Alligator mississippiensis: one gene and its partners. The protein of the gene in region 2 interacts with the protein of the main gene of each other region in a pairwise test. Links are inferred from orthologs where the notes say so. Each region holds a gene or a part of one and is shown on either strand. Other genes may lie near its edges.

Region 1 (3,969 bases), on a different chromosome or scaffold from region 2:
TCCCCCGCCTGCTATACCGCCCAGTCTGACCATCAAAAAAAGCTTCCCCCGCCTGCTATACCGCCCAGTCTGACCATCAAAAAAAGCTTCCCCCGCCTGCTATACCGCCCAGTCTGACCATCAAGAAAGCTTCCCCCGCCTGCTATACTGCCCAGTCTGACCATCAAGAAAGCTTCCCCCGCCTGCTATACCCCCCAGTCTGACCATCAAAAAAGCTTCCCCCGCCTGCTATACCGCCCAGTCTGACCATCAAAAAAAGCTTCCCCCACCTGCTATACCGCCCAGTCTGACCATCAAAAAAAGCTTCCCCCACCTGCTATACCGCCCAGTCTGACCATCAAAAAAAGCTTCCCCCGCCTGCTATACCGCCCAGTCTGACCATCAAAAAAAGCTTCCCCCGCCTGCTATACCGCCCAGTCTGACCATCAAAAAAAGCTTCCCCCGCCTGCTATACCGCCCAGTCTGACCATCAAGAAAGCTTCCCCCGCCTGCTATACTGCCCAGTCTGACCATCAAGAAAGCTTCCCCCGCCTGCTATACCCCCCAGTCTGACCATCAAAAAAGCTTCCCCCGCCTGCTATACCGCCCAGTCTGATCATCAAAAAAAGCTTCCCCCGCCTGCTATACCGCCCAGTCTGACCATCAAAAAAGCTTCCCCCACCTGCTATACCACCCAGTCTGACCATCAAAAAAAGCTTCCCCCGCCTGCTATACCGCCCAGTCTGACCATCAAGAAAGCTTCCCCTGCCTGCTATACCGCCCAGTCTGACCATCAAGAAAGCTTCCCCCGCCTGCTATACCGCCCAGTCTGACCATCAAAAAAAGCTTCCCCCACCTGCTATACCGCCCAGTCTGACCATCAAAAAAAGCTTCCCCCGCCTGCTATACCGCCCAGTCTGACCATCAAAAAAAGCTTCCCCCGCCTGCTATACCGCCCAGTCTGACCATCAAAAAAAGCTTCCCCCGCCTGCTATACCGCCCAGTCTGACCATCAAGAAAGCTTCCCCCGCCTGCTATACTGCCCAGTCTGACCATCAAGAAAGCTTCCCCCGCCTGCTATACCCCCCAGTCTGACCATCAAAAAAGCTTCCCCCGCCTGCTATACCGCCCAGTCTGATCATCAAAAAAAGCTTCCCCCGCCTGCTATACCGCCCAGTCTGACCATCAAAAAAGCTTCCCCCACCTGCTATACCACCCAGTCTGACCATCAAAAAAAGCTTCCCCCGCCTGCTATACCGCCCAGTCTGACCATCAAGAAAGCTTCCCCTGCCTGCTATACTGCCCAGTCTGACCATCAAGAAAGCTTCCCCTGCCTGCTATACCGCCCAGTCTGACCATCAAGAAAGCTTCCCCCGCCTGCTATACCGCCCAGTCTGACCATCAAGGAAGCTTCCCCCGCCTGCTATACCGCCCAGTCTGACCATCAAAAAAAGCTTCCCCCACCTGCTATACCGCCCAGTCTGACCATCAAGAAAGCTTCCCCCGCCTGCTATACTGCCCAGTCTGACCATCAAGAAAGCTTCCCCCGCCTGCTATACTGCCCAGTCTGACCATCAAGAAAGCTTCCCCCGCCTGCTATACTGCCCAGTCTGACCATCAAGGAAGCTTCCCCCACCTGATAGTCCTTGTGCAGCACCACGGTGTGGGTTAGACTCTTATCAAGGCAAAGCATCGCGAGCTTCCTGCAGGCTCTCTTGACATTGAGGACGAGGTCTGTGCTAGGGACATAGCTTAGGATATGCAGAAGAATCTCGTCGGAGAACCCCATCAGGTCCATGACATGGCAGTCCTCCCCGCTCTCCTCGCCCAGGATGTCCTGAAAGCAAAAAGGAGCAACTTGACTTGGAAACACCTGGCGGAGTCAGAGAAGAGCGGGGACAGACCCCGTCCGACCGCGAGGAGCGGGCATACGGCTCCTCAGGCACCGAGCTGCGCGCTCCAGCCGCCCGCACAGTTACGCTTCCCTCTAGATCAGCGGTTCCCAAACCGCGGTACGCAGACAACCTGTCAGTGACGCGCGTTAACAGATTTATTATCCTTTCTTTATAGGGCAGTAATTTGGGGGGTACCTAAGGTGGTATCGTTTTAAATCGGCGCCGCGCAACCCGCCAGAGTTCGGGAACCGCTGCCCGAGATGGGGTGCTGCCTCTCCCCCTCCCCCTCGTCAGCACCCGGCCTCTCCCTCACCGAATTCAACCCACTAGTTTCGACTTAAAAATAAGGGGAGCGCTCTTCACGTTGCTTGCTCGAGAGCTCGCCGCCGCTTCAGAAAGAGCCTCCCCTCACCTGCGCGCCCCCGCCCCAGAGGCTGCAGCCTCTCCACCCGCCATCCATTTCCAAGGGCCAAGATTTCCCCCGCCCGCTCTCGATTACACCTTCAACAGACCTTTTGTCTACCCCAACCCCTGGGACAGGCGCCCCTCGCCCCACCCCCTGGGCCAGGCCCCTGGTCTGAGGGGGAGAACCGACCCGGGGGTGCCGGGGCCCCGCGTTACCTCCCTGGGGCGGGACATGGCCCCCGCGGCCGCGCTCCGAGGCCGCTTGAACCAGCCGCGTCCCCGGCCGGTCGCACTCCCAGCCGGCTCAGGGCCCACGCTGCGCTTCCGGCGCCCCTCTGACCTCACTTCCGGCGCCATCTTGAGGGAGGTGCGCGGCGGCCATGTTGGGAGGGGCACGCGTGCGCCTGGGCGGGTGCCGCCATGTTGGGAGGGGCACACGCGCTGCTGGACGGGCGGCGCCATCTTGGGCGCGGCGAGCAGGTGCCATCTTGGGTGTGGCAGGGGGCTCCACTGCACAAAGCCAGCTGCAGACTAGCTGGGACAGCCAGCTCTTAGCTGTGTAGCCAGGGTCACTTTGATCCCTGGTGCAGACGTGGCTAGTCTTCACGTATTAGTCAGTTCGTTGAATAATAGATGTAACATGTCCTCCTTCCTCGCCCCCCATGTCATCCCAGGGCTGGGGGTCATGAGGCTGGGAACGGCCAACGAGCAACACAGCGGCTGCATTGTCCCGGGACTCCTGGAGCTGGGGCTTTACCAAGGGAGATGCCAGCTGATTCCCGGCAGCTCTCCGGCCTCTCCCATGTGTCCTCATCTCTTACATAACACGGCGTCTTGCTGGCATCACTGAAACCCCGGGGCTGGGGGGGCGAGAAGCCGCTGACAAGCGACCGCTGCCCACCCCGCAGCACGACACCTGCTCCGTCATGGGGGGGCCGCGTGTTCCTGACTCCTCCGAACCCGCTAGTGTTGCCAGAGGACCACCGAAGGCTTTGCTGAGGACCTCCGTGCCGTGCTTTCCCAAAGCGCTCAGATGCTTCCCACCAGTGTGTGCTTTTGGGAAATCATAGAAACGAAGGGCTGGAAGGGACCTCGAAAGATCGTGCAGTCCAACCCCGCTGATCTGGGCAGGAAGACCGCGGAGATGAAACGATCCCAGCTGCCCGGTGTTTGCGCAGCCTCGTCTCGGAGACGTCCAAGGTTGGGGACTGCACCACCTCCTCGGGAAGTCTCTTCCAGATTGTTTGTGGGAAGGAGCACAAAGGCCTCCCCGCTCCTGTGTCTCCTTCCAGCCCCAACAAAGAGGCTTGCAAAGGGGCAAGCCTCAGCGCAGCTGCCTGGTAGGGATGCACCCGGAGGCACTGTGCATGGCATGCTGCCACGTCTTAACAGCGATCAGGTCACTTGCAGTGGCCGTAAGCTTCTTGCGGTCTTAGCTCGTGTATCTTCTAGCTCTGGCGGTGAAGGCATTGCTCTGATACGTGCAGGGTTCAATGGCACTGCCGATGACTGGCCCCAGGTTAAAGCTTCAAGCTGCATCTTTTCTCATCAGCGCAAGGGTGAGCTCTGCTGAGTGAGGAAGCTGCCTGGGTTGGGTGTACACTTTGGAGGATAAAAGCTTCCTCAGAGGAGACCTGCAAAGGGCACAGAATAAAGCACTGCCCTCCTCTTGTTCCTTGTCTTACCTGAT
Region 2 (3,969 bases):
CAGCTGGGCCCAGCCCAAGGAGGCCCAGGTGCCTCTCAGCAGTGGCCAAAGCGAGAAGCCAGCCCTGTTGCAGGAACCTGGGTTCCAGCCACCAGCCCAGGGGGAAGAGTGAGGTGTCGGGGAGCCCAGAAAGGAGGCGTCTCCTCTGCGGTAGTGGGGCAGTGTCATGCTACAGCCCATGGGGTGCAAGAAGGGCGACGAGAGCAGGGGCAGGCCAGAAGCCGGGGGAGCAGCCGGAGGTGTCGGGAGCCCCCTGGCGGCCCTCCGGGAGCGAGCGCCGGCTCCACCTCCTACTTGCCAAGTGGAGCGAGGAGCGAGCAGAGCCCCAGCTCCAGCTCAGCACAAAGGCTCTTCCTAGGTCTCCTGCCCAAGCCTGCCCATGAGGCACCTTCTACAGCTCAGCCACTGCCCAGGGCCAGCCCGGGGGCCCCAACTTCCCTGTGGCCAAGCCCACCCTGGCTAGGGATCGTCCCCCACTCTGGTGCTGGGATCAGGGCACTGACAAGAGGCAGCTGCTAAATCTGACTCTGGAAGGCTTTGTGCCTCTCAGGACTTAGCTGTGCAATCCCCGAGCGCAGCTGGCACCCGCGGCTAAGCCAGCCTTCTCCCCATCGCACCTCCTCCCAGGCACCGGGAGGGAGTGCAGGGCTGAGGAACATCCTACCCCTTGGCTGGAAAGCAAGGTGTTCCAGCCTGGACAGGGCTCCTCCTTCCCCCAGGCCCTGCCCTGCACTCACCTTTCAGCAAGAGCTGGGATTTCTCACAGGGCAGCCCTGCCCCGGCCCTGCTGCAGCTGGCGGAGGCCATGTCATTACCACGGGTCTGGAAAGCAAAGACAGGCACGACACATGAGCGAAGGTTCACAAGGAGCCAGGGGAGCCCAAGGCTGCGTTTGATGAGACCACCCCGGCGGGGCTGGGACCGGTCGCTCCCAGATGGCCGGCAGACCCTGGCGATGCCAGAGGCGCAGCCAGAAGTCAGCACTGAACCGCAGGCCGGGAGCAGCCCAGCGGCTGCAGCGCTGCTGCCTGGCCACGGCCGACCCCCACGGGCCTGCCCACTCGGCGTCACGAAGGAGCCCCCGGCAAGAGGCTGAGCACGTGCGAGCAACACACAGCGGGCCTCACGGGGACGGCACCGCAAAGGACCGGGGCCCCGGGACAACGCACAGACCCAGCAGCCGATCTCACGGCCCCGCTGCCCCAGCGCAGCCGTCTGGCTGGAGAAAAGGAGCTGCCCGCGTGCTCGGGGGCCAGAGGCAGCTGGGCGGCGACGCTGGCTGCACCTCCCGCGGCACAACCGTGGCACGCGGAGGAAAGGAAGGGCCCGTGCCGCAGCGCAGTGCCCATCGGGATCACGTCCTGCCTCTCCACGCCTTGGTCACCTCTCCTCCGCGCGGACACACGTGTTTATCCTCGCGCGCCCCGTTTCCCAGAGCGGGGCCGGGCGCAGATCGCGACCCAGCTCACACGCAGCTTTTGCGCTGCTGCCCTGCCTGGCCAGGTGCGACCGTTGGGGAGGGCGGAGCGAGATCAGGAGCCAGGTGCCTTCGGCTGCCAGACTTTGCCCCTCGTCCCACGCAGGAAGCCGCGCTGGCCGGCGGCCCCTTCGGCTGCAGGCGTAGCGACGGCCAGGAGCCGGGCGCGCGGGACGGCGCTCGCAAACCCAAGTCGGGCTGGCGCTTGCCCGACCGGCGCCGGGAGCTGCGGAGGGGGAGGGGGAGGGGCAGGACGGGGCACGCGCTAAACACCCTGGCAGCGGAGAAGGGCCGGAATGACCGCTGTGCCGGCGCGGAGCCGCCTTCCCTGTCGCGAACGCCGACCGCCCCTGAGCCCGCCGGCGAGGGAGGGGCGGCAGGGGGTCCCCCCGCCCCAGCCACCCACCTCCGGGCCGCAGCTCCGCGGGGCCGGGAAGGCAAGGAGGCCCGGCGCCGTGTCCACGGCCGCAGCGCATCCCCGCCCCGGCCCGGGCCCGGGCCCGACTCGCACCAGCTTCGGGGCGCCCCGCGCGGCCCCGCCCGCCTGAGAGGAGGGGAGGGGCGGGGGCAGGGAAACGCGCGCTGGGCTCGAGCCGTTCCCCGGGCAACCGCCAACGGCCACCCCCTCCCCCCGCTCCGCGGTTACCGGCGACGGCGGCGCGGCACTTCCGGCTCGGCGCGCGGCGGTCATGTGACGCCGGCAGGTCACCTGACCCAACGGGAGGCGGGGAGGGGGGAGGAGCGATAGCGATCCCGGCGTGCCCCGCGCGGCAGCCCCCCTCAGCCGCCCGCCGGACTACGACTCCCGGCATGCCGCGGGGCGTGGTCAAGATGGCGGCGGTGGAGCACGTGGTGGTGGACGCGGGCGCCTTCCTGCGGGCAGCGCCGCTGCAGGTAGCTCCGGGCCGGGCCGGGCCGGGCCGGGCTGGGCCGGGACTGCGGGGGGGGGGGGGGGGGGTCGGCGCGGGGCGGGGCAGGGCGGGGCGGGGCTGACGGCGCCTCCCCGCAGGACATCGGCCGCCGCGTGTACACGGTGCGCGAGGTGGTGGGCGAGATCCGCGACCGCGCGGCGCGGCGGCGTCTGGCGGCCCTGCCCGTCCCGCTCCTCTTCCGCCAGCCGCGGCCCGAGCACGTGCGCCTGGGTGAGTGCTGGCCCCCGACCCCCCGGCTCTGACGCAGACACCTGGGGGTGCCCCTGACCCCGCCCCCTGGGCCAGACGCCTGGGGTGCCCCTGACCCCGCCCCTCTCCCGGCTCTGACCCCGCCCCTAACCCAGACGCCTGGGGTGCCCCCTGGCCCCGCCCCTCTCCCGGCTCTGGCCCCGCCCCCTGGCCCAGACGCCTGGGGTGGCCCTGACCCCGCCCCCCTCCCCGCAGTGACGGAGTTCTCGAAGAAGACGGGCGACTTCCCGTCGCTGTCCCCCGCCGACCTGCAGGTGCTGGCGCTCACCTATGAGCTGCAGGCCGAGACCGGCGGCGTCGCGCACCTGCGGGCCGAGCCCCAGCACCAGGTATGGGGGGTGGGGTGGGGTGGGGAGCGGAGCGGAGCGCTGCCCCAGGGCAGGGCACCGTCCCACTCCGGGGTGAAAGCGTGCACAACCGACCGCCCGGTCACGGGTCACTGCCCTGCAGGTAAAGCTGAGCTCTAGCATTCGGCACCCGGAGGCCCCCGTGCACGTCCCTGGGTTTCACCTGCCGTCCAAGGTACGCTCGGCGCCCCCGCGGGCGTAGGCGTTGCTCCGTGCGGGCCGGGGGAAGCGGTGCACGGTAACTTCCTTTAATTTGTCCAAACCCAGTGCGCGCGCACAGAGGAAGAGGCGCCTGCGTTCGCGTCCGCGTCGGAGGGTCAGCCGTGCGAGAGCCCCGAGTTCGGCTCCTTCCTGTACTGGAGGAAGCCCCTGCCCAGCATCGAGGAGGACCTACGAGAGCTGCTGGTGAGCAGCGGCGCGCCGCCCCCGTCGTCCCTGCCTTCTGCCTGGGTTTGCTCGTCTCTGGGAGGGCTCATCTCGCCCGCATGGGCACAGCTGATGGGGTCTCTGTCCCCCGCAGACAGGCGATCCGGTTTCCCTTGCTGTGGAGGAAGAGGAAAGTGCCTCCGAGGAGGAGAGTGAAGAGGACAGCGATGACGAGAAGGACTGGATAACCCCCAGCAACATCAAGCAGATCCAGGAGGACGTGGGGCGCTGCGATGCTCCCCCCGCGGACGTGCAGGTCGGGTGCGTCACCACCGACTTCGCCATGCAGGTAAGCGAGGAAGGCGCCAGACGAAGCACGTGTGATTTGGGATAAAAACACTGGGTCTTTTTCAAAGGGAAGGAAAGTTGAATCTCACGGGGTTGAGGATAGGGACTTCCAAAAAACTGGGTGTCTCGGAGCAAGCAGCATAGGTGAGGAACCCAAGCCAAGCCAAAAGTAGGAATAAAATAGCCAGTTTAATGGGCAAGAGGTTAATTAAGGGCCTTGGCGCTTCATTAAAACAGAGCTAATGAAGCC
Region 3 (3,969 bases), on a different chromosome or scaffold from region 2:
CTGTATTAGAAAGCACTGCCCTAAAACGTGTCATACCTGCACAATGAACACTACACTCTAAACCAGGATACCTTTGTGCACACCAAAAAAGCATTTGGGAAGAGAGTGAGCTTACTGATGCAGGCACAACACTACATCATGGCAGCTCCATTACATATGGTTGGTGCATAGTTCATGAAGTAGCTATAGGCTAGAACAATCCTTTGATGGTATAAACATGCCATTTTATTTAATATTTCTGGAGACATCTCTAGGATCAGGAAGAGCTCTCAGTTATTTTGCCAAGCAACAAAATCTGTCCTGCTATCTTGAGACTAGCTATGAAGTCTCCCCTCCCTTCCCCAACCCCACCACTAACCCTCCCCACATAGTTAAATTTTCTCTTTCCTTAGAAAACAACAACTCTCACACAGCCTTGCCACAGTTTCCTATTGTTAGGTATCACTTACTTTTCATAGTTTCCTCATATCCAATTTTGTTCTGCTATATTAATAGCTTCTCTGCTATGGGCTCTGAAACATGACATTTAAGCTAAGAAAAACTCCACAGCTGACTGTGAACGCAGTTGCATTTTATTCTTACTTTGTATTTACACTTTCAAATGTCAATATTATTCCAGTTAATCAGAAATGATCAACAAAGAAACAACTGCTACCAAGTGGCTGGAAGTAGCCCAACATTGCTCAAACACTAACATGGAAGTAATTTAAAAACATCCTAAAGAGAATTACAGGCAGTCCCTTTGACTAGCCAGCTTACAGCAGGTAACAGATGTGCACTCTTCCATCCCCATTCTTATAGTGATGTTTCTAGTGCTTGTGATTCACCTGAAATTATACTTGAAATTAATGATTCTGAATGCATCTTGGCAAAGATCTTTTTAATTACTCCAAAGAACATTTAATTTTCTAGCTCAAGATAGGTTTGCTGCTAGGTCAACACATTCTTGGAAAGGTTTTTATTATATGGAACATGATTTTGCATAAAAATGTTCCTGTCCAATGACCTTTCTTCCATTAGTTGTGAATACCATAATATTTAAAGTATACACAACCCATTTAATGTTTTACCCAGCAATTGAGTGCATCTCCATAGCAACATTTCCCAGCAACCTTGAGCCCAAGGGATATAAAAACATTTCAAGAGCGGAACCTGAAAGCATGCAACCATCTTAATCTGTACAACAAATGCCATTTTTAAGAGCTAAAACGTTCAGGACAAAGAACGTCTTAGAAATGGCACGTGTTGCAAAATTTAATTTTTATCATTGGCGGGGTGGGAAATCCAGGGGATGTGGAAAAGCCAATATATTAAATCAGCATGTTTTAGGGTTTTAGCAAAGGACCCAAGAACCGATATTTACAAAGAGATCAGATCTCCAATCTTGTTTCCCCCTCTCTCTGCGCCTGATCTGATTCCTGTGCAAGTTGAAAGCAAGTCTTGACTTCACAGCAAGTCAAATGGAGTCCAATTTAACTAGACCCAAGTACTGCTCCCTAATGCTTCCTCCCCTCAACTGGACATTCGGACAATATTGGCTACAGAAGTTGAAGTCCCAAAGCAGTGCGCTATATCAGGCAAACCACTAGAATTAACTATGAATAAAATCATTACTATGTTGTTAAATGGAAAAGACAAAGGAAAAGGATAACAGTTTTAAAGCAGCTAAGCTACACCAGTATTCTGTCTCTTCTTTTTTTCCCCCCCCCCACCCGATGTCTTCCAGAGCTCACAGACTATAGTCAAAATGCCAGCAAAAATTGTTCATTTTAACATCCTGACTGTAATTCAACATGAAGGGGAAAAGCATAAGGCAAAAAGCTGCTGCAAAAAGGGCAGTTCAGTTTAAGATTTTCCACTGTGAAAATACTTAACCTCTGTTGTTTACAGCAGCTTACCATTGTTCAGGCTAGAAATAAAGCAAATCTGCAGTATAGTAATTCCTCTGTGTGCATGTCACTGGCCAAGCTAAAACTCCCTTACTTCTGCCATTTGCAAGCTCCAGTGAAATTATCTTAAGTATATTCATAGCTTCAAGAAAAGCCCCTGATCTGCACAGGCTCATTATAAAGGGAAATTCTACAGAGAATCGCGATATGCTGCTTTCAGCTATCTTCATTCACAACAACAGGGACTTGGAGAAAACTGTCCCTGATTGACCTGGACATTTTAAGTAATTATTGTGTACAGTTAAAAAAAATAACTTCCACATGCTGGAGACAGAATCCTAATTACTGACTTAAACTACTATTTAAGCTATGAATCTCTAGTTCCTAACTATTTTTTATTGTGTTGGTTTTAATTTTTTTATAAATGTTAAAGTCATGGACAGCTTATTTTGCTCATGGACTGCAATATAAATACATTTACAGAGTCACTTACCAGAGCATTGACATCCTCAGTTTTGTAGATCAACATCCGTATCTCCTCTGGATCACCACTGAAAATTGCTTGAACCAGTGGTGGCTGCCAAGGTAAAACACAAAGGAACAATAAAAAATGTGTTTTTACTGTTTTAATAGATGGACATTTTGGCTAAGTACAAACAGCGAAAAAGCCCGGCAGAATCAATTCAACCTTTGCAGGTTAATCGAAGCTGCACACACTGAACAGATATGCAAGCGAGCAGACATTCACCTTTGACTCCAGAGATGCAGCCAAATGCCCGCAGGGGCCCAGGCCAGAAGCTGGAGGGTGCAGTGACATACTGTGGGTCTCTGACACCTGGGGGCCAATATTTACATTTGCACCCCCCTCCTCCCCACCCTATTCCTGTCCCCAGCCGGAGATGCTGGTGGCAGAACCAGATACCCCATAGAGGGCCCAGCCAGTGCCCCTCCCAGACCACTGCCCAGGGGCATGGCCCCCCCATCCCCCTGTCAATATGCCACTGGGGGCAGTGCTAGGGCACATCTCCCTACTCACTGCAGCAAACAGCTTTGGTCAAGGCTAGCCCACCCACCCTGTAAAGGGAGGTTTGTGAGGGAGGTACAAGGCATTCTGGGATGCTGGGTGACTGAGTTAACTTGAATCTGGAGGGGATCTGGGACATAAGTTCAATAAACCAATATAACCTAAATCAGTTAAATCTGATGCTACATTCATCCGGGTTCATCTTAAACTGGGTTTTGAAGTGTCATTGATAGGGTTAAGATGACATTGTGTGCGGGGTACGTAGACCCCAGCCCCAGAGAGGGGCAGCTTTGAGACGCCCCAGTGCGGGCACGACGAGCCCCAGAGAGGGGGCAATATTACTAGGAAGCCCAGTGCAGGCACAACGAGCCCCGAGAGAGGGGGCAGTGTTATTAGGAAGCCCAGGACAGGCACAGCAAGCCCTAGAGAGGGGGTAATATTATTAGGAGGCCCAGTGCGGGTGCAGTGAGCCTCTGAAGAACGGCTAGTGCTGCGGCAAACCCCAGAGCAGGGTAGAGTGCTGCGGTTGCCCCGGTGAGAGGGGGTAGCAGCACGGTGTGCCCTGAGAGAAGGGGAGAGCAGCGCGGTGGGCCTGAGAGTCAGGGGGTATTGCTGGGAAGTCCCCAGAGTGGGCGCAGAGAGCCCCAGACGGGGCGGTATTTTAGAGGCCTGAGTGTGGGCGCAGGGAGAGCCCCAGGAAGGGGGCATTACCGAGAAGCCCAGCACGGGTGTAGCAGGTCCCAAGCGGGGGAGCTATTGCGAAGGCCCCAGAGAGGGGCAACATTACAAGGAGGCCCAGAGAGTGGGCAAGAGCACGCAGAGGAGGCCCGAGAGACGGGCAATATATATTTATAAAAAGACATACCAGCGTCTTTCCCATCAGCGAGGCTTGGGGCATGGTATTAGGGGTGGTAGAAGCCACGCGTAGCCCATAAGGCTAGGGTGCCCCAAAACACCCAGGGGTGCAGGATAAGACCCACGAGGGGTCCAGGAGTGTACATGCCCAAGGAGACGCAAGGCAGCCTCCCTATTATATTTACCAGGAAGATGTGGCGG

What was found.
Region 1: the proteins of WWP2 (region 2) and FBXL18 interact in a two-hybrid assay, tested with the Homo sapiens proteins (3 studies listed by BioGRID and IntAct). The link is inferred for Alligator mississippiensis from reciprocal best matches to the Homo sapiens genes WWP2 and FBXL18.
Region 3: the proteins of WWP2 (region 2) and ANKRD44 interact in binary tests that used the Homo sapiens proteins (3 or more experiments, as listed by UniProt). The two-hybrid records come from large-scale screens. The link is inferred for Alligator mississippiensis from reciprocal best matches to the Homo sapiens genes WWP2 and ANKRD44.

The regions. Positions count from the first base shown.
Region 1 is NC_081836.1:53,253,235-53,257,203, forward strand, and holds the start of FBXL18 (F-box/LRR-repeat protein 18), read right to left. Parts: upstream 2,632-3,969; 5' UTR 2,514-2,631; coding exon 2,496-2,513; intron 1,817-2,495; coding exon 1,616-1,816; intron 1-1,615. UniProt on the Homo sapiens protein: Substrate-recognition component of the SCF (SKP1-CUL1-F-box protein)-type E3 ubiquitin ligase complex.
Region 2 is NC_081833.1:76,450,430-76,454,398, reverse strand, and holds the start of WWP2 (NEDD4-like E3 ubiquitin-protein ligase WWP2), read right to left. Parts: upstream 2,220-3,969; 5' UTR 2,169-2,219; coding exon 2,124-2,168; intron 1,974-2,123; exon of another isoform or gene 1,884-1,973; intron 823-1,883; coding exon 738-822; intron 1-737. Other genes in the region: RNA-binding protein NOB1, read left to right, coding at 2,288-2,371, 2,487-2,619, 2,854-2,987, 3,109-3,180, 3,273-3,410, 3,526-3,720. UniProt on the Homo sapiens protein: E3 ubiquitin-protein ligase which accepts ubiquitin from an E2 ubiquitin-conjugating enzyme in the form of a thioester and then directly transfers the ubiquitin to targeted substrates.
Region 3 is NC_081827.1:192,931,216-192,935,184, reverse strand, and holds the start of ANKRD44 (serine/threonine-protein phosphatase 6 regulatory ankyrin repeat subunit B), read right to left. Parts: upstream 2,492-3,969; 5' UTR 2,419-2,491; coding exon 2,383-2,418; intron 1-2,382. UniProt on the Homo sapiens protein: Putative regulatory subunit of protein phosphatase 6 (PP6) that may be involved in the recognition of phosphoprotein substrates.